2 linked regions of the Stegostoma tigrinum genome follow. The protein of the gene in region 1 interacts with the protein of each later gene in a biochemical or structural test. Links are inferred from orthologs where the notes say so. Each region holds a gene or a part of one and is shown on either strand. Other genes may lie near its edges.

Region 1 (10,606 bases):
TTGGAGAGAAGTGGCAAATGGAATTTTATCCCGAGAAGCGTGAAGTGCTGCAATTTGGAAGGACTAACAAGATTAAGAAATACACAATGCATCGTACAATCCGAGGTAGTATGACGGTTATGATGGAGCTGTATACAAATTAGTAAAGCTGCAGCTGGAGTACACAACATGCAGTTCTGATCGCCTCACTACAGGAAAGTTGTGACTGCACTAGATTTAGATTTTATTTTCCTGTTCTCTAGTACAAGTGACAACAGGAGTACAGTGAAAGGTTTAGTAGAGGGGTAAACAAAGACTCACTAGATTTTCCTGGGCTGGAACATTTCAGCTACAAAAAAAGACTAGATAGGCTGGGATAACAAAGCGTGGAGCTGGATGAACACAACAGGCCAAGCAGCATCTCAGGAGCAAAAAAGCTGACGTTTCGGGCTTAGACCCTTCATCAGAGAGGGGGTTGGGGAGAGGGAACTGGAATAAATAGGGAGAGAGAGGGGGAGGCGGACCAAAGATGGAGAGCAACTCATATTCCGCTTGGGAACCCTGCAGCCCAATGGTATCAATGTGGACATCACAAGCTTCAAAATCTCCCCTTCCCCCACCGCATCCCAAAACCAGCCCAGTTCTTCCCCTCCACCCAATGCATCCCAAAACCAGCCAGCCTGTCTCTGCTTCCCTAACCTGTTCTTCCTCTCACCCATCCCTTCCTCCCACCTCAAGCCACACCTCCATTTCCTACCTACCACCTCATCCCGCCTCCTTGAACTGCCCATCTTCCCTGGACTGACCTATCCCCTCCCTACCTCCTCACCTATACTCTCCTCTCCACTTATCTTCTTTTCTCCCCATCTTCGGTCCGCCTCCCCCTCTCTCCCTATTTATTCCAGTTCCCTCTCCGATGAAGGGTCTAGGCCCAAAACGTCAGCTTTTGTGCTCCTCTGATGCTGCTTGGCCTGCTGTGTTCATCCAGCTCCACACTTTGTTATCTTGGTTTCTACAGCATCTACAGTTCCCATTATCACTAGATAGGCTGGGGCTGTTTTCCTTAGAAATGTACAAAATTTGGGAGACATTGGTACAGTAGTAGTGTGGTCGATTAACCGGGGCATAAATTGAAGGTAAGTGGCAGGAAATTTAGAGGTGACTGGACGATTTTTTTTCCCCGCCAAAAGTGTTGGAAGTATCTGGAATACACTGCCTTAAGAAGCGGCAGGAGCAGGGGCCCTCTTGTCGCTGAAGTATGCAGGTAAACACTTAAAACGTCACAGCATGTAAGTTACAGGTCAAGTAATGGAACACAGGGTTAGACTAGATAGGCCCTCAATAACCAGCACTAACATGTTGGGCCATCAAGGGCCTCTTTCGGTGCTGTAAACCTTTAATCCATCTATAGCAAATCAAAGCTTAGCAATATGATCTTACTGTAGTAAGTGTAAACTTGTAACAAGAATGCTTCAATTTATTGCAAGACAACAGCAAACATGGATTTATTCAAGCTGTACGAAATAACAATTCAAGGCAATGCAAAACATGCCAACATTAAAGTTTTTCTTCTAAAAAAAAGCACTGTGAACCCATCGCAATTAACTTTCCACTGTCCTTCACTCCCAAAGCCAACTCTTTATTGAGATACAACTTCCCATTTATCACTTACAAACAAATTACACCGTCACCATCAAGTTAAGTGACTTCAGGGCCTGCATAGCGCAAACAAACTTCCATCAACAACTCCATATGACAACCATATCCCTGGTCATTTATCTCTTTCCAAACTAAGCAGCAGCGAGCCACTGTTGCCTTAGCAGAGATGAGCTCAGTTAGCATAGCCATTAATCCAGAGATTAGAGTTTCCTGATATGTATCACTCGGTTGCTCTCTCGTCAAAACAAATGATTTACTTTTTGGGGGGCGGGGGGGGGGGGGGGGGGGGGGGGGGGGAGAAAACAAGAAAAAAAAACTACTATATCTAAATATGAAAAGGTCACAATTTTGCTTTTTTCATCCTCTTGAACTCCGTTTGACAATGTGAAGCAGAAACAACTCGGTAAGAAAATAACTCCATCATTTAAAACAGTTAGTCAGTCGTTACTAATTTTTGGCTACTTTATTTTTGCTCTCTTCTAGTGAAAAATCTCCACTTTATAAACTACACCCATCAGAGGGGTGAGTATTTGAAAAGTGATCCATGATTGATCCGCATAATTGTAGGTAATTGTGCAAGTGTGTTCGCATGAGAATGGTGGCTGCTGGAATGTGGTAGCCTCTCCTGTGGAACAAGTTGATCACCCTTAAAGCTATGTCATTTTTAAGAGTCAAATAGCTTGTACATCAATGAAGAATGTCTTTCTAAGCAAAATCCAACAAGGCTTTTGGCTGTACTATGCCCAGTCTTAACTCAGCAACTAGAAGGGAGGATGAAATAAAGAAAAAGGAAAAGAAAGAGACAGCGATCATCAAGTTTATGTCCCTGACAAAGCCTGACTATTTTGCTGGTATTTCTTTCTCAGCAATTACATTATCACGAGCAATCTAAACAAATACATGTAAAGTATGTAAACTAATGTTGACAGTCTGTTGCTTTCTGAAAGTTACTTCAAGTCTTTCAATTATTTTCTAATGTCAAGGTTGCGTTATAAAACACATGAAAGTGCAATGTTACAGTTTCAAATGTTACCAACAAGTACGATTCTTCATATTTTCTCAGTAAGTGCCTATCAAAAGCATTTGAATGAAAATGTTGCTTTGTATGCCCATTTAAATTAGGTAAGAACTCAAAATTCACTAAGATATACGTTTATAAAATGCATTTTCAAAAAATTGCCTTAAAACTAAATCCCATCCTTAAGACGTGCTCAATCTTATTCAAAATGGATGAAGACTACCAATTTTAATGTTTACAAATATAAAATCATGTGTTTGTTTACGTTTTAAAACACGTTTTAAGCAGTCTGGAGTGTTTTATAATCCAAAACTAGTCATGCTGCAACCCTAAGCACCAATATACAAAGAAAACAGGGAAAGTGCCTGTAAATTTTAACATTAATTCCCAAAAACAAAACTTCCTGGTACCATGGTCAGCAGACTGTCCAGCCTCAGGAAAAATTCATGACAGTTATGAGGTCCAACTCCTCGCTGTCATTCTGGGGAATTCGAGAGGCTTTAGGCACAAAAATGCTGCTTTAGACAATAAAACTTTAAATCTGACTATAAAGTAAGAACTAAATTCTAGAAAGAGTCTGGCACGTATGTCATGGAACTATATCACTGTTCATTCCTGGCTATTCCATCAAATCTTTGTATTCCTTCCCAACAGCTCTGTGGGTGCACCTATACCACTTGGCTTGCTGTAATTCAAGGCAGCAGGTGACCGCCACCATCTCCATGACAATTAGGGATGCGCAATAAATGCTGATCAAGCAAAGAATGCCCACAACCTACGAACAAATCAAAAAGTGCATTGCAACTTCTATTACTACCAGGTGTGTCAAAAGTATTTGCAGCCAATGATGTTTTTTTTAAAAAGTGTAGGGATTATGCAACATAGGAAGTGTGACAGCAAACGTGCATACAGTAAGTGCTTAAATGAGAAGGGCGTGGATTTTGTACTGTTGCAAAATTCAATTATATTATCAAGCAACGTTTATGGCTGGAAGCATTGACAGCAATGCTTCCACAAACATATGTGGAATCTTCAAAACTAAGTTAAAATAAGATGTCAGTATAAAAGCAATGACAAAGCATTATCATTCTACAACTCAGACAAACTTTTCACCTATACTGCCTGGCACAAAACCAGGGCTGTACCAACAACCTACAAACTAAGTCACTGGATTGAGCGTTCAGCAAGTATTGGATACAATCTTGGAACACATCATACAAAATTGGATTAAAATTTAAGAAACGGCAAGTAATGAAAGCAAGCTTTGAAGTTCACTTATTGCAAACAAGTGAGCATTGTTATAAGTGGATAACAGCGTTCAAAGAAATTCCCCCCAGGAAAGAATACCCTTTAAAGACCCAGCAAACATAACTCAACATCATTAAATAATGACCTAATCAAGAATAAAATAATTTGCAGACGGGGCATCCCAAGACCAGGTCAGCACCAATAAACTGCTTTTGAGGTGTCATCATTTGTTTATTACAAGATCAAATGGGCTGTCAATTTACACATAGCAAAAATTCACCAAGAAAACCCAATGACAAAGATGACCAGATAGTCTGTCATTTGGTGATGTCAGCTGATGGATGAATATTGACGAGGATGACATGACGGAACACTCCTGAAGCCCTGTAAAAGGCTTCCACCCAACCCAAGACAAATATCGATGTCAATGTCTGGCCTAAAGTGTCAAAGGCACTCCCTCCGAGTATTAGAGTGCCAGCCTGCAGAAGTCTCTAGAAATGGGAGGTTCGAACCTCAGATGAGCCCGGGCTCGACTGACAGAGTTCAGGAGAGGCGTATGCGCGGAATAAGAATCCACCGTCGCTCCAGGTCACCCAAAGTGGGTCAAGTCGAATGAACAGGGGGAAGAGGAGGTAGGGGGGAGAAGGAGAGGCCCCGGCGCTTGGAGGAAGAGAGGCCATGACTGTGTCCCAGCGGCGCCTTTGGTCTGGCGTCGCGCACCCACTGACGTGTCGCCTCTGAGCGGCCTCCAACCTGTTCTTCCCATCGTATCCCCCCTCCCCCCTAACACCGTCTTTCTGATCACTTCAACCGCACGCTTCATCGTCGTACTTACGCCTTGTCCACCAGCTCGCGCATTTTCCACATGTTCAACATCTTCACTTTCTCTCTCGCTTCGACAGCGGATTTCTTTCCCCCGTCCGGTAATATGGTTTAGTTTAGTCCTCTGGCCCTTTACCTCTCTCTCCCCACCTCTCCTCCACCCCTCCCCGCCCCGCCCACCACCACGGCCCAGGTCAAGGATGATTCCCGCTGATCTACAGCCAGGACTGACAGTTAACAAATTAAAAAGAAGCCTAGGCCTGGCTAGGACCCCTACCCTCTAACCCCGCTAACCTCCGCCTCCTCTTTCTCCTGAGCTGCCGGCTACCAACTAGTCAATGCGTGAACGCACTGCTACGTCATCACGGCGACTAACGCACAGCGTCATCTGAATCAGGTCCCGCCTTCTCATGCTCAGGCACTGCCTCTTTGCGGTTTCCATCCTTTCAGCGCTTCGCGTGCTAAATGTTGAGCTGCAGCGCGAGTCGCAGATTGCAAACGGCTACTGCGTGGTGCAGGCCGGGATTTGTAGTTTCCAAGACACCTTCACTGCTTCTCCTTTCTGCTCTGATGCCGCGGAGAACTACATGTCCCAAAAGGCCCCATAAGGAGGACCTTGCGCCGACTGTTCTCCGTGCGCTAGAAGAAGCGGTAGCGGGAGCATTCGGAGTACGGTCGTGTTTTGGTGTGATCTTGTGTGTAAGTACTGAATATATATCTCCTCGATAGTTTTCTGTACTCTTATTCAGAGCTGCGTTATCCAAGAACCAGTGTGTGAGGAATTGGTAAAGAGGAGAGAGCCTGAGAACAGGCCGGCAGCCAAAATAAAGAGGAAGATATCAAGAACTGCAGATGCTGGAGTCATCATCATCATTAGCCATAGAATCCCTACAGTGTGAAAACAGGCCCTTCGGCCTAACAAGTCCACACCGATCCTCGCAGCATACCACCTAGACCTATGTCCCTATAACCTACCTAATCTACACATCCCTGAAACTACAGGCAATTTAGCGTGAGTCAATACAGTGTACAGCGGATCAGACAGCATCGAAGGAGCAGGAAAGGCGACGTGTCGGGTTCACACCCTTCATCAGGACTCAGAAGATAGAAACGGGCGGTGCGGGTCTAGGGAACGATGATGCTGGAGGCTGTGGGCGGGAAGTCTCCCCAGGTGATGAGGTTATTGATGGCCTGGAAGATGGTGATCAAGGGCGGAGTGGACGGTAAGGGGTGTTGGAGAGTTGGTGCCCGGTTTCCACGATGTAGAGGTTAGTACACCATACCACCACCGCGAACTCCCATCCCCCTTATCAGCATGTTTGATGGTGACGTTGGGGTTGGAGCGGAGGGCTGTCTCTTCCGCTTGCGGAGAGGTTCGAGTGAGTGAGAGGGGTGGAGAGATTCAGGCGATTGAAGTCATGATGATCGTTAGAGATGAAGAGATCGAGGGAGGGTAGGAGGCCATGGGGTGGTGTCCAGGCGGATGGAGTTTTTCAGAGGCAGGAGAAGAGGTCTTCAGAGAGTGACTAAGACTCCTGATCAAAAAAAAACAGGTGTGGCGGTGGTGGAAAAATAGCTCAACACTAGATCTGTATGGAATTTGATGATGTGTGGGTACAAGGGGATGAAGGTGAGTTCTTTGTTGAGGACTGACTGTTCGCCCTCAGTGAGGGGGAGGTCTCGGGTGATGATGAATACCTTGCAGGGCTTGGGACTGGGGTTAGGTCTAGAGCTGAAGCTGGAAGTTGGGGTGGAGTCTGTCTTGGGAATGGTTGCATATATGGGAACTCGTGGGCAGAGGCAGAAGTAGCAATGTAGTCAGCGGCAGTAGCAGAAGTGACATAGTCAGCATCGGCAGAAGCAACATTGTCAGCGTTGGCAGAAGTGACGTCAGTGGCGTCAGCGGGAGCAACTGAGGCGACCGTGTGGTTATTGGCGCCAGTTGAATTTAGGATGAGGTCGTGGATAGGGTTGGGGTCTAGGGTAGTGGAGAGGTCTGTGTTTGGAGCTAAGCGTGAGCAGGTTTGATATACTTGTCTCCGACAAACTCCATCCTCCTGGACACCACTCCATGGCCTCCTACCCTTCCTCGACTTCTTCATCTCCAACTGTCATCCTGCCAATAGGGTGGAGAAAAAGCGTTTGTTGAGGGTACTGATCCTGCGTAGAATTAAAAACAGTAGATGTCCTTTGCAGACCTGAGAAAGAGAAGCTATGAGCTAGGGTAGGGCTGACTGTAGTGAGAGAAGTTGCCAGCACAAAGCTGCAAACGTGGAGCTGAGGATCCGCAAAGAAAACTGTTTCTAGCAGATCAGGATGTACTGTAGATAACGATTGTCATGGTTTGATCCAAATTGGGATGATCTGCACATTGTTTGAAGTCAAAGGGGCATGAGCCGGCTATGTAGGCAGGTACTGAGAAAGGAGACATGGCTGTAGTAATGGATTTGTTTCAGAATGTGGTTGAAGAACTTCAGAACAGAGAAGATCACCAGGGGTTTGCAGTAGGAGAGAGATCCACTGAGATCTTTTCAGAGGGAGAAGGACAACTTCAAGGTGAGTATTCATGAAAGACGCTTTGCATCAGCGTTTTCAGCAACTAGAAGACAGCAAGAACTGTAGATGCTGAAGTCAGAATCAATACAGTGTAAAACCAGAAGAACACAGCAAGTGTTCCTGATGTAAACCCAAAACATTGACTTTCCTGCTCCTCTGACGCTGCCTGATCTGTGTTGCTCCAGCTCCACAGTGTGTTGACTTGGGTTCAGTCGTGGCTGAATAGCCCAATCCTGGAGCTGCAGACTGTGCCACAGGTGGGGCTGTGTTTGATAAACAGTTGGGTGAGAATGCCCTGGATTCCATGTGCTCTTTCTGCTGCTTATTTTGGTCTCCATATGGTCCACTTGGTGACATGTTTCACACCTGATATCTTTGCAGATACTTCATCTCTGGTTTCTGCATTTTAAGACAAGCAATTCCCACCTTTCAGTGGGGTGTGGTATTTGTTTAGAGAGGGCATCATTCCCTTTGTACTCCTAGTGATCACCTACAGTTTAGAAGTTGAAACAGAGCGCTTGTTTAGGGAATCTTGAGTTGGGCATGTGGACAATGGTCGCACCTTGCACCTAGTTATGCATGACCAATGCCTCGTTACAAGGGATATCAGCCTGGGAAAGGATGCTCCTATTGGTATGCTAATCCTACTGGTGGATTTTCAGGATATTGTGAAGGTAGTGCTGGTAATCTCTGGGGATTTGAGGTCTCTGCCATATATAATCCATATATCCGATGAATACAAGAGAGTGGGGAACCAAGGCTGCTCTGATGACCGTGGGATTGGTGCTGAGTTTGAGGCCTTAAATTTTGAACACACTATTCCTCAGGCATCCAAAGACTACTGGAGGTTGGAGTTGATGTAGCATTTCATCATCAATATCTGCTTGTACTGAGAGCAGGCTCCTGAGGTATGAAAATGATTCACATGTCCAGGGGCTCACCATGGACTGTGATGGTAGTGGGGAACGGGGTTGTATGACAGGAGAGGACTGGTAAAGAACCTTTATTTTTAGATGTTTAGTCCGAGGCCCATTTTCTCCTATTGCTTTAGTGAATGCCTCGATGATGGTTTATGGCTTGGCCTCTGAGTTTATGCATACGCCAGTGTCAACTTCATACTGCCCCTCAATGGCAGAAGTTAGTATCAGAGCGCTCTGTTCTACTAGAGGGACAAGCACGGGACCTCATTGGCAAGAACCCCGCTCCAACACTGACGCCTAAAAGGCTGCATCATTGTTCATCCAAGGACCACAAGGATGTCTGCATCATCCATGCATTACTGGAGCCAATGACTGCTGAGTTGACCACAACTAATCCACTCTACCATCTCTGAAACCTGGCCCCAAACCAGCATAAGCAGAAAAAACTCTGCCGCAGGAGATTTAGTGTTACTGGGAAGAAAGATCTAGTCAGGCATCACCTCACAGCCACCTTGACACAACCACATGCCACAGCTGCAGTGTGCCGTCAGCACTTGGCCCACCCTAAAAGCCACCATAGTCTCCATTTGCACAGAGATACTGGGCCTGTCAACCAATAAACACTAGGACTGGTTCACTGAGAATGATGAGGAAACTAACGATCCTCAGTGATGAGGAAACTTTCAGTAAATATAATTCAGGGCAAAATTACTTGAGCAAGTATGAGCTAATTAAGCAAAATCAGCAGAGACTGTAGAATTTAAGATAGAGAATGGGGAAATGGGAAAGAAAATGAACAAGTATTTTTCATCTGTCCTTTTTGAGGAAAGTACAAAAAATCTCTTAGAAAATTGAGGACTGGGAGACTTATGCAAATAAAGAAATTAGTATTAATAAAGTGGTTAAACAGAAAACATTAATGAATCAAAGACTGATAAATCTCCTGGATTGGATGGACTATATCCGAGAGTGTTGAAGAAGGTGGCTATAAAGGTGGATGCTTTGGTAGTTAGAACATAGAACAGTACAGCACAGAACAGGCCCTTCAGCCCACGATGTTGTGCCGACCATTGATCCTCATGTATGCACCCTCAAATTTCTGTGACCATATGCATGTCCAGCAGTCTCTTAAATGACCCCAATGACCTTGCTTCCACAACTGCTGCTGGCAACGCATTCCATGCTCTCACAACTCTTTGTGTAAAGAACCCGCCTCTGACATCCCCTCTATACTTTCCTCCAACCAGCTTAAAACTATGACCCCGCGTGTTAGCCATTTCTGCCCTGGGAAATAGTTTCTGGCTATCAACTCTATCTGTGCCTCTCATTATCTTGTATACCTCAATTAGGTCCCCTCTCCTCCTCCTTTTCTCCAATGAAAAAAGTCCGAGGTCAGTCAACCTCCCTTCATAAGATAAGCCCTCCAGTCCAGGCAGCATCCTGGTAAACCTCCTCTGAACCCTCTCCAAAGCATCCACATCTTCCCTATAATAGGGCGACCAGAACTGGACGCAGTATTCCAAGTGCGGTCTAACCAAAGTTTTATAGAGCTGCAACAAGATCTCACGACTCTTAAACTCAATCCCCTTGTTAATGAAAGCCAAAACACCATATGCTTTCTTAACAACCCTGTCCACTTGGGTGGCCATTTTAAGGGATCTATGTATCTGCACACCAAGATCCCTCTGTTCCTCCACATTGCCAAGAATCCTATCCTTAATCTTGTACTCAGCTTTCAAATTCGACCTTCCAAAATGCATCACCTCGCATTTATCCAGGTTGAACTCCATCTGCCACCTCTCAGCCCATCTCTGCATCCTGTCAATGTCCCGCTGCAGCCTACAACAGCCCTCTGTACTGTCAACAACACCTCCAACCTTTGTGTCGTCTGCAAAGATGCTGACCCATCCTTCAATCCCCTCATCCAAGTCATTAATAAAAATTACAAACAGTAGAGGCCCAAGGACAGAGCCCTGTGGAATACCACTCACCACTGACTTCCAGGCAGAATATTTTCCTTCTACTACCACTCGCTGCCTTCTGTTGGCCAGCCAATCCTGTATCCAGACAGCTAAGTTCCCCTGTATCCCATTCCTCCTGACCTTCTGAATGAGCCTACCATGGGGAACCTTATCAAATGCCTTACTGAAGTCCATATACACCACATCCACAGCTCGACCCTCATCAATTTTTCTAGTCACATCCTCAAAGAACTCGATAAGGTTTGTAAGGCATGACCTACCCCTCACAAAGCCGTGTTGGCTGCATTTGATCAAGCCATGCTCTTCCAGATGGTCATAAATCCTATCCCTCAGAATCCTTTCTAACACCTTGCAGACGACAGACGTGAGACTTACTGGTCTGTAATTGCTGGGGATTTCCCTATTTCCTTTCTTGAAGAGAG
Region 2 (10,602 bases), on another chromosome or scaffold:
GAGAGTGGCAGGGGGAGTGGCGCAGCGGGGGAGTGGGGTTGAGTGGCGTGGCGGGGGGGTGGGGGGGTGGGGAGTGGGGAGTGGGGGGGGTGGGTGTGGGGGGGGTGGGTGGGGGGTGGGTGGGGAGTGGGGTGGGTGGGTGGGGAGTGGGGGGGGTGGGTGGGGAGTGGGGGGGGTGGGTGGGGAGTGGCGTGGCCGGGGAGTTGGGGGGTGGTGGGGGAGTGGGTGGGCAGTGGGGGGAGTGGGTGGGGAGTGGCGTGGCAGGGGAGTAGGTGGGGAGTGGTGTGGGGGGGGGAGTGGGGAGGGGGGGGAGTGGGGAGGGGGGGGAGTGGGGTGGGGGGGGAGTGGGGTGGGGGGGGAGTGGGGTGGGGGGGGAGTGGGGTGGGGGGGGAGTGGGGTGGGGGGGGAGTGGGGTGGGGGGGGAGTGGGGTGGGGGGAGTGGGGTGGGGGGGAGTGGGGTGGGCAGTGGGGGGAGTGGGTGGGGAGTGGCGTGGCGGGGGAGTGGGGGGGGGTGGGTGGGGAGTGGCGTGGCGGGGGAGTGGGGGGTGGGTGGGGAGTGGCGTGGGTGGGGAGTGGCGTGGCAGGGGAGTGGCGTGGCAGGGGAGTGGGGGGGGTGGGTGGGGAGTGGCGTGGCAGGGGAGTGGGGGGGGTGGGTGGGGAGTGGCGTGGCAGGGGAGTGGGGGGGGTGGGTGGGGAGTGGCGTGGCAGGGGAGTGGGGGGGGGGTGGGGAGTGGCGTGGCAGGGGAGTGGGGGGGGTGGGTGGGGAGTAGCGTGGCAGGGGAGTGGGGGAGTGGGGGGGTGAGTGGGGGGGTGAGTGGGGGAGTGGGGGGGTGAGTGGGGGGGTGAGTGGGGGGGTGAGTGGGGGGGTGAGTGGGGGGGTGAGTGGGGGGGTGAGTGGGGGGGTGAGTGGGGGGGTGAGTGGGGGGGTGAGTGGGGGAGTGAGTGGGGGGGTGAGTGGGGGAGTGGGGGGGTGGGTGGGGAGTGGCGTGGCGGGGGAGTGGGGGGGTGGGTGGGGAGTGGCGTGGCGGGGGAGTGGGGGGGTGGGTGGGGAGTGGCGTGGCGGGGGAGTGGGGGGGTGGGGAGTGGCGTGGCAGGGGGGTGGGGAGTGGCGTGGCAGGGGAGTGGGGGGGTGGGTGGGGTATGGCTTGGCAGGGGAGTGGGGGGGGTGGGGGGGGTGGGTGGGGAGTGTTGGGGGGGTTGGGTGGGGAGTGTGGGGAGGGTGGGGAGGGTGGGTGGGGAGTGTGGGGAGTGGGGGAGGGTGGGTGGGGAGTGTGGGGAGTGGGGGAGGGTGGGTGGGGAGTGGGGGAGGGTGGGTGGGGAGTGTGGGGAGTGGGGGAGGGTGGGTGGGGAGTGGGGGAGGGTGGGTGGGGAGTGTGGGAGGGTGGGTGGGGAGTGGGGGAGGGTGGGCGGTGAGTGGCGTGGCAGGGGAGTGGGGGGGGTGGGTGGGGAGTGGCGTGGCAGGGGAGTGGGGGGGGTGGGTGGGGAGTGGTGTGGCGGGGGAGTGGGGGCTTGGGTGGGGAGTGGCATGGCGGGGGAGCGGGGGTGGGTGGGTGGGGAGTGGCGTGGCGGGGGAGTGGGGGTGGGTGGCAGGTGGGTGGGGGTGGGTGGGGAGTGGCGTGGCGGGGGGAGTTGGGGTGGGTGGGTGGGGAGTGGCGTGGCGGGGGAGTGGGGGGTGGGTGGGGGGGGGCGTGGCGGGGGAGTGGGGGTGGGTGGGGGGGGAGTGGGGGTGGGTGGGGGGGGGAGTGGGGGGGGAGTGGCGGTGGGTGGGTGGGGAGTGGCGGGGGAGTGGGAGTGGTGTGGCGGGGGAGTGGGGGTGGGTGGGTGGGGGAGTGGCGTGGCGGGGGAGTGGGGGTGGGTGGGGAGTGGCGTGGCGGGGGAGTGGGGGTGGGTGGGTGGGGAGTGGCGGGGGGAGTGGGGAGTGGGGGGGTGGGGGGGTGGGTGGGGGGGTGGGGGGGTGGGTGGGTGGGTGGGTGGGTGGGGAGTGGGGGGGGAGTGGGGAGTGGGGGGGTGGGTGGGTGGGGAGTGGGGGGTGGGTGGGTGGGTGGGGAGTGGCGGGGGAGTGGGGGGTGGGTGGGGTGGGGAGTGGGGGGTGGCTGGGTGGGTGGGGAGTGGCGGGGGAGTGGGGGTGGGTGGCGGGGGAGTGGGGGTGGGTGGCGGGGGAGTGGGGGTGGGTGGCGGGGGAGTGGGGGTGGGTGGGTGGGGAGTGGGGGTGGGTGGGTGGGGAGTGGGGGTGGGTGGGTGGGGAGTGGCGGGGGGGAGTGGGGGTGGGGAGTGGCGGGGGGAGTGGGGGTGGGGAGTGGCGGGGGGAGTGGGGGTGGGTGGGTGGGGGGGGGAGTGGGGGTGGGTGGGTGGGGGGGGGAGTGGGGGTGGGTGGGTGGGGGTGGGGGGGGAGTGGGGGTGGGTGGGGGGGGGGAGTGGGGGTGGGTGGCGGGGGCGTGGTGGTGGGTGGGTGGGGAGTGGCGTGGCGGGGGAGTGGGGGGGGGTGGCGGGGGAGTGGGGGGGGAGGGGGGGGAGTGGGGGGGGAGTGGGGGGGGGTGGGGGGGTGGGGAGTGGCGTGGCGGGGCGACGGGGGAGTGGGGGGGGCGACGGGGGAGTGGGGGGCGGCGCGACGGGGGAGTGGGGGGCGGCGCGACGGGGGAGTGGGGGGCGGCGCGACGGGGGAGTGGGGGGCGGCGCGACGGGGGAGTGGGGGGCGGCGCGACGGGGGAGTGGGGGGCGGCGCGACGGGGGAGTGGGGGGCGCGCGCGACGGGGGAGTGGGGGGGGGCGCGACGGGGGAGTGGGGGGGGGGCGCGACGGGGGAGTGGGGGGGCAGGGGTCGTGGGTGGGGAGTGGCGTGGCGGGGGGGTGGGTGGGGAGTGGCGTGGCGGGGTGGGCGGGTGGGGAGTGGCGTGGCGGGGTGGGCGGGTGGGGAGTGGCGTGGCGGGGTGGGCGGGTGGGGAGTGGCGTGGCGGGGTGGGCGGGTGGGGAGTGGCGTGGCGGGGGGGGGCGGGTGGGGGGGGGCGGGGGGAGCGGGTGGGGAGTGGCGGGGGGAGCGGCGTGGCGGGGGGGTGGGTGGGGAGTGGCGGGGGGGTGGGTGGGGAGTGGCGTGGCGGGGGGTGGGTGGGGAGTGGCGTGGCGGGTGGGTGGGGAGTGGCGTGGCGGGTGGGTGGGGGAGTGGCGTGGCGGGGGGGTGGGGGTGTTGTTGGGGAGTGGCATAGCGGGGCAGGGGGGTTGTTGGGGAGTGGCATGGCGGGGCAGTGGGGGGTGGAGTGGTGGGAGGTGGGTGGGGAGTGGCAGGGAATGGCTGGGGTGTGGGTGGGGGTGTGGGGGGTGGGTGGGGGTGTGGGGAGTGGGGGTGTGGGTGGGGGTGTGGGTGTGGGGAGTGGGGGGGGGGGTGTGGGTGTGGGGAGTGGGGGGTGGGTGTGGGTGTGGGGAGTGGGGGGTGGGTGGGGGTGGGGGGAGTGGGGGGTGGGGGGAGTGGGGGGGGTGGGTGGGGTTGTGGGGAGTGGCGGGTGGGTGGGGGGGTAGTGTGGGGGAGTGGGGGGGTAGTGTGGGGGAGTGGGGTGGTAGTGTGGGGGTGGCGGGGGTGTGGGGGGGGAGTGGCGGGGGGTGTGGGGGGGGAGTGGCGGGGGGTGTGGCGGGGGGGGAGTGGCGGGGGGTGTGGGGGGGGGAGTGGCAGGGGTGTGGGGGGGGGGAGTGGCGGGGGTGTGGGGGGGGAGTGGCGGGGGTGTGGGGGGGGTGTGGGGGGGGAGTGGCGGGGGTGTGGGGGGGGAGTGGCGGGGGGTGTGGGGGGGGAGTGGCGGGGGGTGTGGGGGGGTGTGGCGGGGGGGAGTGGCGGGGGGTGTGGGGGGGGTGTGGGGGGGGGTGTGGGGGGGGGTGTGGGGGGGGAGTGGCGGGGGTGTGGGGGGGGGTGTGGGGGGGAGTGGCAGGGGGGTGTGGGGGGGGAGTGGCAGGGGGTGTGGGGGGGGAGTGGCAGGGGGTGTGGGGGGGGGAGTGGCGGGGGGAGTGGTGGGGGGGGGAGTGGGGGGTGGGGGGGGGGTGGGGGGGGTGGGGGGGGGTGGGGTGGGGGGGGGGTGGGGGGGTGGGGGGGGGAGTGGGGGGGAGGTGGGGGGGGGGGTGGGGGGGGGTGGAGATAGTCGGGGGCTTGGAGTGGGAGGGGAGTTGGGGTGCGGAGTCGGGGGGTGGGGGAAGAGAGCGGGTCTGAAGCGATTGGGCGATGGCCGGGACCGGGGATGGTCAGGAGGCGGGATGAGGGTGAAGGCAGTGGGCACAGTCTGTGAAGAGCGAGGCCTGAAGACGGGAGCTGCAGACACAGAGAGAGAGGTTTACGGGTGAAAAGACCGACCTGTGAGATTCCCGAGATGAAGCCGGGGAAATGGAGAGAGCAGAGATGGAACCACCCAGAGTGGGAGAGGCACTGTGTACCCGGAAAAACCGTCCCGGGGAGGCCGGGCCGGATGTGGGCGGGGGAACAGGGGGAGGAACGGACAGAGCAGGAGGAAGGAGCCTGAAGACAGACAGAGATTGTGTCTCGACCCCTCAGTTCCTCCGCCCTCTCCCCGGGGGTGGTCCCTCCTCTCCCCCCCGGGGTGAACCATCACCGCTTCCCCCTCCCCCGGGTGACCCTTCACTCCCCCCCTTCCTCATAACGGAAGTATCCCATCAATTGAAATGTTCTCGTAAACCTTTTCTCCACTAAAGGATTGACATTCTTCATTCGTTTTAATCAAAGACACTCCGACTAAGCTATAACCAATGTCTCACACAAGTTCTTCATTATCGTCTTGTTCCTGTACTCTATACCCCTATTAATTCAGCCGAAAGTAATGTAAGTTTTATTAAAAGCTCTCTACACCTGTCCTACCAGATACGGCTTACATACATAACGTCCAGGTTTCTCTGTTCCTGTGCTCCCTTTAGAACAGTGTTCTTTGTACCAAGGCGCATTACTTCTCACTTCTCTGCATTGAACTTTCTGCTACCTATCCACGCAATCCATTGGTTTATCTATGTTCTTTTGAAGTTCTACACTGACCTCCTTGTGGTTTACAATTCTTCCAAATTTTCAGTCATCCACGACACTTTCAAATTGTCCCCTGCACATCAAGATCTGGATCGTTGATATGGATCAGGAAAAGCAAGGGTTCTAATAACAATCCACGAAGAAGTCCACTACAAACCACCTTCCAGCCTGAAAAATACCGATTAACCAAAATTCTTTGTTTCCTATTCTACAGACAATTTTGTATTCATGTTGCTACTGACTTTTTTTTCCCTTGTTCTGTATCTTTCCTCACAGAACTGTTGCTTGGTGTTGTATCAAATGCCTTTTGGAAGTCTGTGCATACCACAACAATTTTCCCATCATCAATCCTCTCTGATACCTCTTCAAATAACTCCAGCAAGTAACTTTGGCAAGATTGTCCTTTAATAAATCCATATTGAGTCCTCCAAACCAATGCACATTTTCATTGTGGTGAGTCGTTCTATGCCAAATAATTGCTTCTACATGTTTCTTCATCACTAGAGTTAAATGGAGTGTTCTGTAATCAGTGGACTGACTTAAACAACAATGTTCAACAAAGGCATGAAGTTTTCAACTCTCCAACCATACACCGTCACTGAATGTAGGAAAGACTGAAAGATCATTGAAAGCGCCTCTGCAATCTCCACTCTCCATTCCCTCAATATCCCAAGGCCTAATCACGTCTAAGTAGTAATAGCTTATCCAATACCACCTCACTAATTTCAAACCCTTTGAGTGACTGAGTTCCCTCTTCTGTCACCGTGGCCTGGGCAGTATCTGCCTCCCTGGTAAATACAGATGCAAAGTATTCATTCATTATTCGCTCCAGCCATGCCTAATGTCTCTTAAGTGTCAACTCTTTTTTTATCCTTAGTTGGTCCTACTCCCCTTTTTACAACCCTTTTACTATTGATGTATTTGTAGAAGATTTTAATAATTATTTTTATATTACCTGCAAATATTTTCTCATAATCCTTTGTTGCTCCTCATGTTTGGTTTTGCATTGTCAGTTCTGAACATTCTGTATTCTGTCTGGTTCTGAATTGTATTTACCTGAGCTATAGAGAGACAGTAGGGACACTTAAAGATCAGAGGTCATTTTTGTGTTAAATCTCAGGAGATAGGAGAGATATTAAATGAATGTTTTGTGTCAGTGGAGAAAGAAATGAAAGAAAGGAAATGAATATTGATGTTTTGAAAACAGTTCACATTACAAAAACGAAGTGCTGGAGGCCTCAGAAAATATAAAGGGTGGATAAATTTTCAAGATCTGTTCCAATGTATCCCATGATGTTGTAAAAAGTTAGGGAGGAAATTGAGGAGCCCCTTGCGGAAATATTTGTGTCATCTATAACTATGGGGTGAAGTGCTGGATGATTGGAGAGTGGCTAATGTGCCTTTGTTTAAAAGGGAATGTATGAAGAAGCTCGGGAACTATTGACCTTTGATTTTGACTTCAGTGGTGGGTAAGTTGTTGGAGGTGATTCTGAAAGAAAATTTACGTGCATGCAGAGAGGCAAGGAATGATTAGGGATAGTCAGCATGGGTTTTGTGCGAGGGAAATCACGTCTCACAAACTTGATTGAGTTTTTTTGAGGAAGTAACCAAGAAGGTTGATGAGGGCAGAGCAGTAGATGTTGTTTACTCGGACATTAGAAAAGCCTTTGACAAGTTTCTGCATCATCGGCTAATTAGTAAAGTGAGATCACATGGGATTCAGAGAAAGCTTGCCAATTAGATGTAAAACTGGCAGGAGGCACAGAGTGGTGGCGGAGAGTTATTTATCAGACTCTTTGCACTTTACCAGTTCTGAAGAAGGGTTACCAGACCCGAAACATTAACTCTGTTCTTTTTCTTCACAAATGCTGCCAGAGCTGCTGAGCTTTTCCAGCAACTTTGTTTTCGTGTCCATTACCTGTGGTGTTCCACAGGAATCGGTGCTCGGTCCACTTTCGTTTGTCATTTATTTAAATGATTAAATGGTAATTAAGTTCACAGATGACACTAAAATTGATGGTACTGTAGACAGTGAAGAAGGTTATCTAAGATTACAAATTATCTTTTGGGTCAGCAGGCTGAGGAGTGGCGGATGAAGTTTAATGTGGATAAATGTGAGGTATTGCATTTTGGTAAAACAAACAAGGGCAGATCTTACACAATTACAAGTAGGGACTTAGGTAGTGTAGAACAGCAAGCCGTAGGGAGTCAGGTACACTCTCGACCTCCCACCTTTGCACTACCTGAAGTTCACCGAGTCCCACTGTCTCTGCACTTCCTTAAACTGCAGTGACCACGTGCTATCGTGGGACGACTAGGTGGGCGGGGCTTCACTACGGGCGCGGAACGTCAATGGGCGGAGTAGAGCAGCTCCGTGCCTTTGAGTGGGCGCGGCAGCACTGTCGGGCGCGTGCATTGGGGTTGCGCGGCGACCCAGTGGGCGGAGCATCGCCGTGGCGGTGTCCTCTCAGTGGGCGGGGTTGCCTCCGAGGGCGCGGCGAGCGGATAGGCGGGGCGCCGTGGTGGGCAGGCCCTATTCCGTCTCGGATCACGCGGTGGGTGGGGTCATCCGCCGGTTGCCCCAGGAGACGGTGCGGCCATGGCGGAGCGCGGTGCTCACTTAACGGGCGGCCTGGCTGTCAGCCCGGGCCGGCCGTCCATCTTTGAGGTGGTTGCTCAGGACACGTTGATGTCGGCGGTCAGACCCGCCGCGCAACATGCTTGCAAGGTGAGGCTCGTACCGTGCCCTCCCCAGGAGGAAGGGTAGGCAGAGGGTCCTTGCCGCCTCCGCGGATTGGAATCGGAGGCGCAGCTGCCGCTGTCCCAGGGGGTTAGGAGCAAGGGCTGCAGGCTGGCCTAAGGCCGAAAGCGCCTCCGGATGGAGGCCCAGAGTCAGGTACTTCGGTCGAAGATGACCCAGAGGTGACTCACTCTTCAACTCATTTCCGAAAAATAACGACCTTTTCTTTCTTGACTAGAACCACAATGTTAAAGACAAAAGCATTATTTGTCAGTCTTCCACATGTTGTTGCAAGTGCAAATTCACCCTTGATTCACAGTTAGGAATTATGGTGTAAACCTGCTTCACATGTTCTCTGATGATAAAATGTGAGGCTGGATGAACACAGCAGGCCAAGCAGCATCTCAGGAGCACAAAAGCTGACGTTTCGGGCCTAGACCCTTCATCAGAGCCTCAGAGTTCATCTAGCCTCACATTTTATTATCTTGGAATTCTCCAGCATCTGCAGTTCCCATTATCTCTCACATGTTCTCTGATTCTGACAGTACTTTTAAGCTACTGGATTCTCCAGCTGTGTTGACCAATGTGGTACAGAGGGAGGCAGTAAGCTGTAGAGCTGGATGAACACAGCAGATCAAGCAGCGTCAGAGGAGCTGGAAGGCTGATGTTTCCAGTTTAGACCCTTTCTGGATCATTTCTGAAGAAGGATCCGGACCTGAAACGTCAGCCTTCCTGCTGCTGCTGCTTGACCTGCTGTGTTCATCCAGCTCCACACCTTGTTATCTCAGATTCTCCAGCATCGGCAGTTCCTACTATCTCTGATAGAGGGAAATGAAGGAAGTGTAAATTGAACATCAAGCCACTTGTCGAATCAGAATTGAGTGAACCATGTATGTTTATTCTCTGGATTCTTTTTAAATTAATCCCACAGGGACCAAGTATGTTTTAATGGAATTGAAATGAAGATGCTGTACTCGAGCTTAACCTGAACTTCAGTTGATAGTTTTTGCATGGTTGTGATCTCAGCAATGCGAGTCTATATTGAGTCATGGAAATAAAAAAAAGAGATTACTCTTCAATATAATCCCATAGGTTCCAGTTGTGCACATAATCATTAGACGAACACACCATTCAGGAGTCAAAATAGAAATATGGCCCATTTAACACTATTGTCGCAATAATGAAGTTGACTGATCTTAGCAACGAATCCCGATGAACAAATCTGCAACATGCCCAGAAATGGTTGAAGTAAAACTCCAGTGGTATCCTGCTTTGGAAATCATGGATTCAAACACTTTCTTTAGCTGCCCTTAACATATCTGAACATTTGAGGACTTTTCATTTCATTAGGGAGTATTACACACCAATTGGTTCTGTTTTCACCTGATTCTTGTACGTGTTCAGTGCTGAGGTAAGGGACAGTGTTAGGTTTTGATTATGAATGGTAGGTGTCTTTTCCCTAGGATGGGCGTTGTCAAGATAATGGGGCATATCTTAAGGTGAGAGGAGAGAGATTTTAATAAATACACGGGGTGACATTTTTTTTACTTCAGAAGATGGCTTGCATGTGGAAGGAACTTCCTGAGGAAGTGTTGGATGTGAACACAGTCACACCATTTAAAAGACACTCAGATAAATACCTGAACAGGAAAGATTTGGAGGAATATAGGCCAGGAGCAGGCAGATGGAACTAGGTTAGTTTGGGATTATGTTCGGCGTGGACTGGTTGGATGGAAGGGTCGTGTTTCCATGCTGTATGTCTCTAAGAATGCGACAGTTGATGCTAGAAGCCAGGATACCCCATTCACTGTATGCACAGTCGCGTTTTCACACAGGGTTAAATTTGTACTGTAATCTAGACAGGATTAGCAAAATGCAAACCAGTGAGCTCTTTGTGAAAAGCATTTAGTGATATTTCATTTGAAATTATGCAAGGTGTGTGGTGTTTTTTAAGACCCTGAATGTTACTGAATTCTAACAATGTGCACCATTATATTTTTTGTAAAATATATATATATACAGAGACAAACAAATTGTCCACTGGGGAAAGGGAACATAAGTTAGTACGTTTGCAAGTCAGCACTGAGAAGTGGAATAGGGAAGAACATATTTCTAAAAGACGTAAATATAACTGTAGAGTAAGATATCAGGGAATAAAATTGAAGTCAATGTGTTCCATAGATAACTGGGTGTTCCTGAAGAGGAGGGGATTAAAAGCCATAGTGTGACGGCAAATAATAAAGGGGTGCTTAATGTTAATAGAATTTAAAAATGCACAAAAATCCAGGTTAACTGGTCTATATTGGCTTTCCTCCAATCTCATTTCCGTGATCTTTCATATTACTTTTTAAGGATGCTAAGATACCTATGTGGAAATGAGCAATACTAACTTCTGACAGTCAGTCTACTGACTGACATCCTGGCACAAGGCACAATGTTTTGACAGAGCATATGTTTCTGTTCTAGGTGCTTGCGGAATCCAACCCCAGTCGCTATGGGTTTCTATGGCGATGGTTCGATGAAATCTACGTGCTGCTAGACCTCCTGCTTGAGCATCACTATCTGTCCAGGACCAGTGCTTCCTTCTCTGAGAACTTTTACGGTCTGAAAAGAATTCCATTGGGTAGTGGTCACGGACTATGGAGATTAGCCAGTCTTGGGCTCCCAAGAACCCAGCACTGGAGATCCCTGCTGGTGGTAATAGCTGTTCCGTACATAAAAGTCAAATTGGACAAACTGTTTGCTCGACTGCAAGAGGAGGATGACTATGCAATACATCTCCCAGAGTCCTCTTGGAAGCGTCTTTATAAGGCCTTCCTTGCAGCCTATCCTTTTGTGAATATGAGTTGGGAGGCATG

Evidence for each region. The genes of interacting proteins can lie anywhere in the genome.
Region 2: the proteins of clint1a (region 1) and ap2b1 form a complex in vitro, tested with the Homo sapiens proteins (2 studies listed by BioGRID and IntAct, with this or other methods). The link is inferred for Stegostoma tigrinum from reciprocal best matches to the Homo sapiens genes CLINT1 and AP2B1.

What each region holds. Positions count from the first base shown.
Region 1 is NC_081366.1:70,228,154-70,238,759, reverse strand, and holds the start of clint1a (clathrin interactor 1a), read right to left. Parts: upstream 5,080-10,606; 5' UTR 4,781-5,079; coding exon 4,740-4,780; exon of another isoform or gene 4,577-4,739; intron 1-4,576. UniProt on the Homo sapiens protein: Binds to membranes enriched in phosphatidylinositol 4,5-bisphosphate (PtdIns(4,5)P2). May have a role in transport via clathrin-coated vesicles from the trans-Golgi network to endosomes. Stimulates clathrin assembly.
Region 2 is NC_081380.1:7,249,641-7,260,242, reverse strand, and holds the start of ap2b1 (AP-2 complex subunit beta), read right to left. Parts: upstream 4,433-10,602; 5' UTR 4,327-4,432; intron 1-4,326. Other genes in the region: pex12 (peroxisome assembly protein 12), read left to right, coding at 7,604-7,732, 10,211-10,602. UniProt on the Homo sapiens protein: Component of the adaptor protein complex 2 (AP-2). Adaptor protein complexes function in protein transport via transport vesicles in different membrane traffic pathways.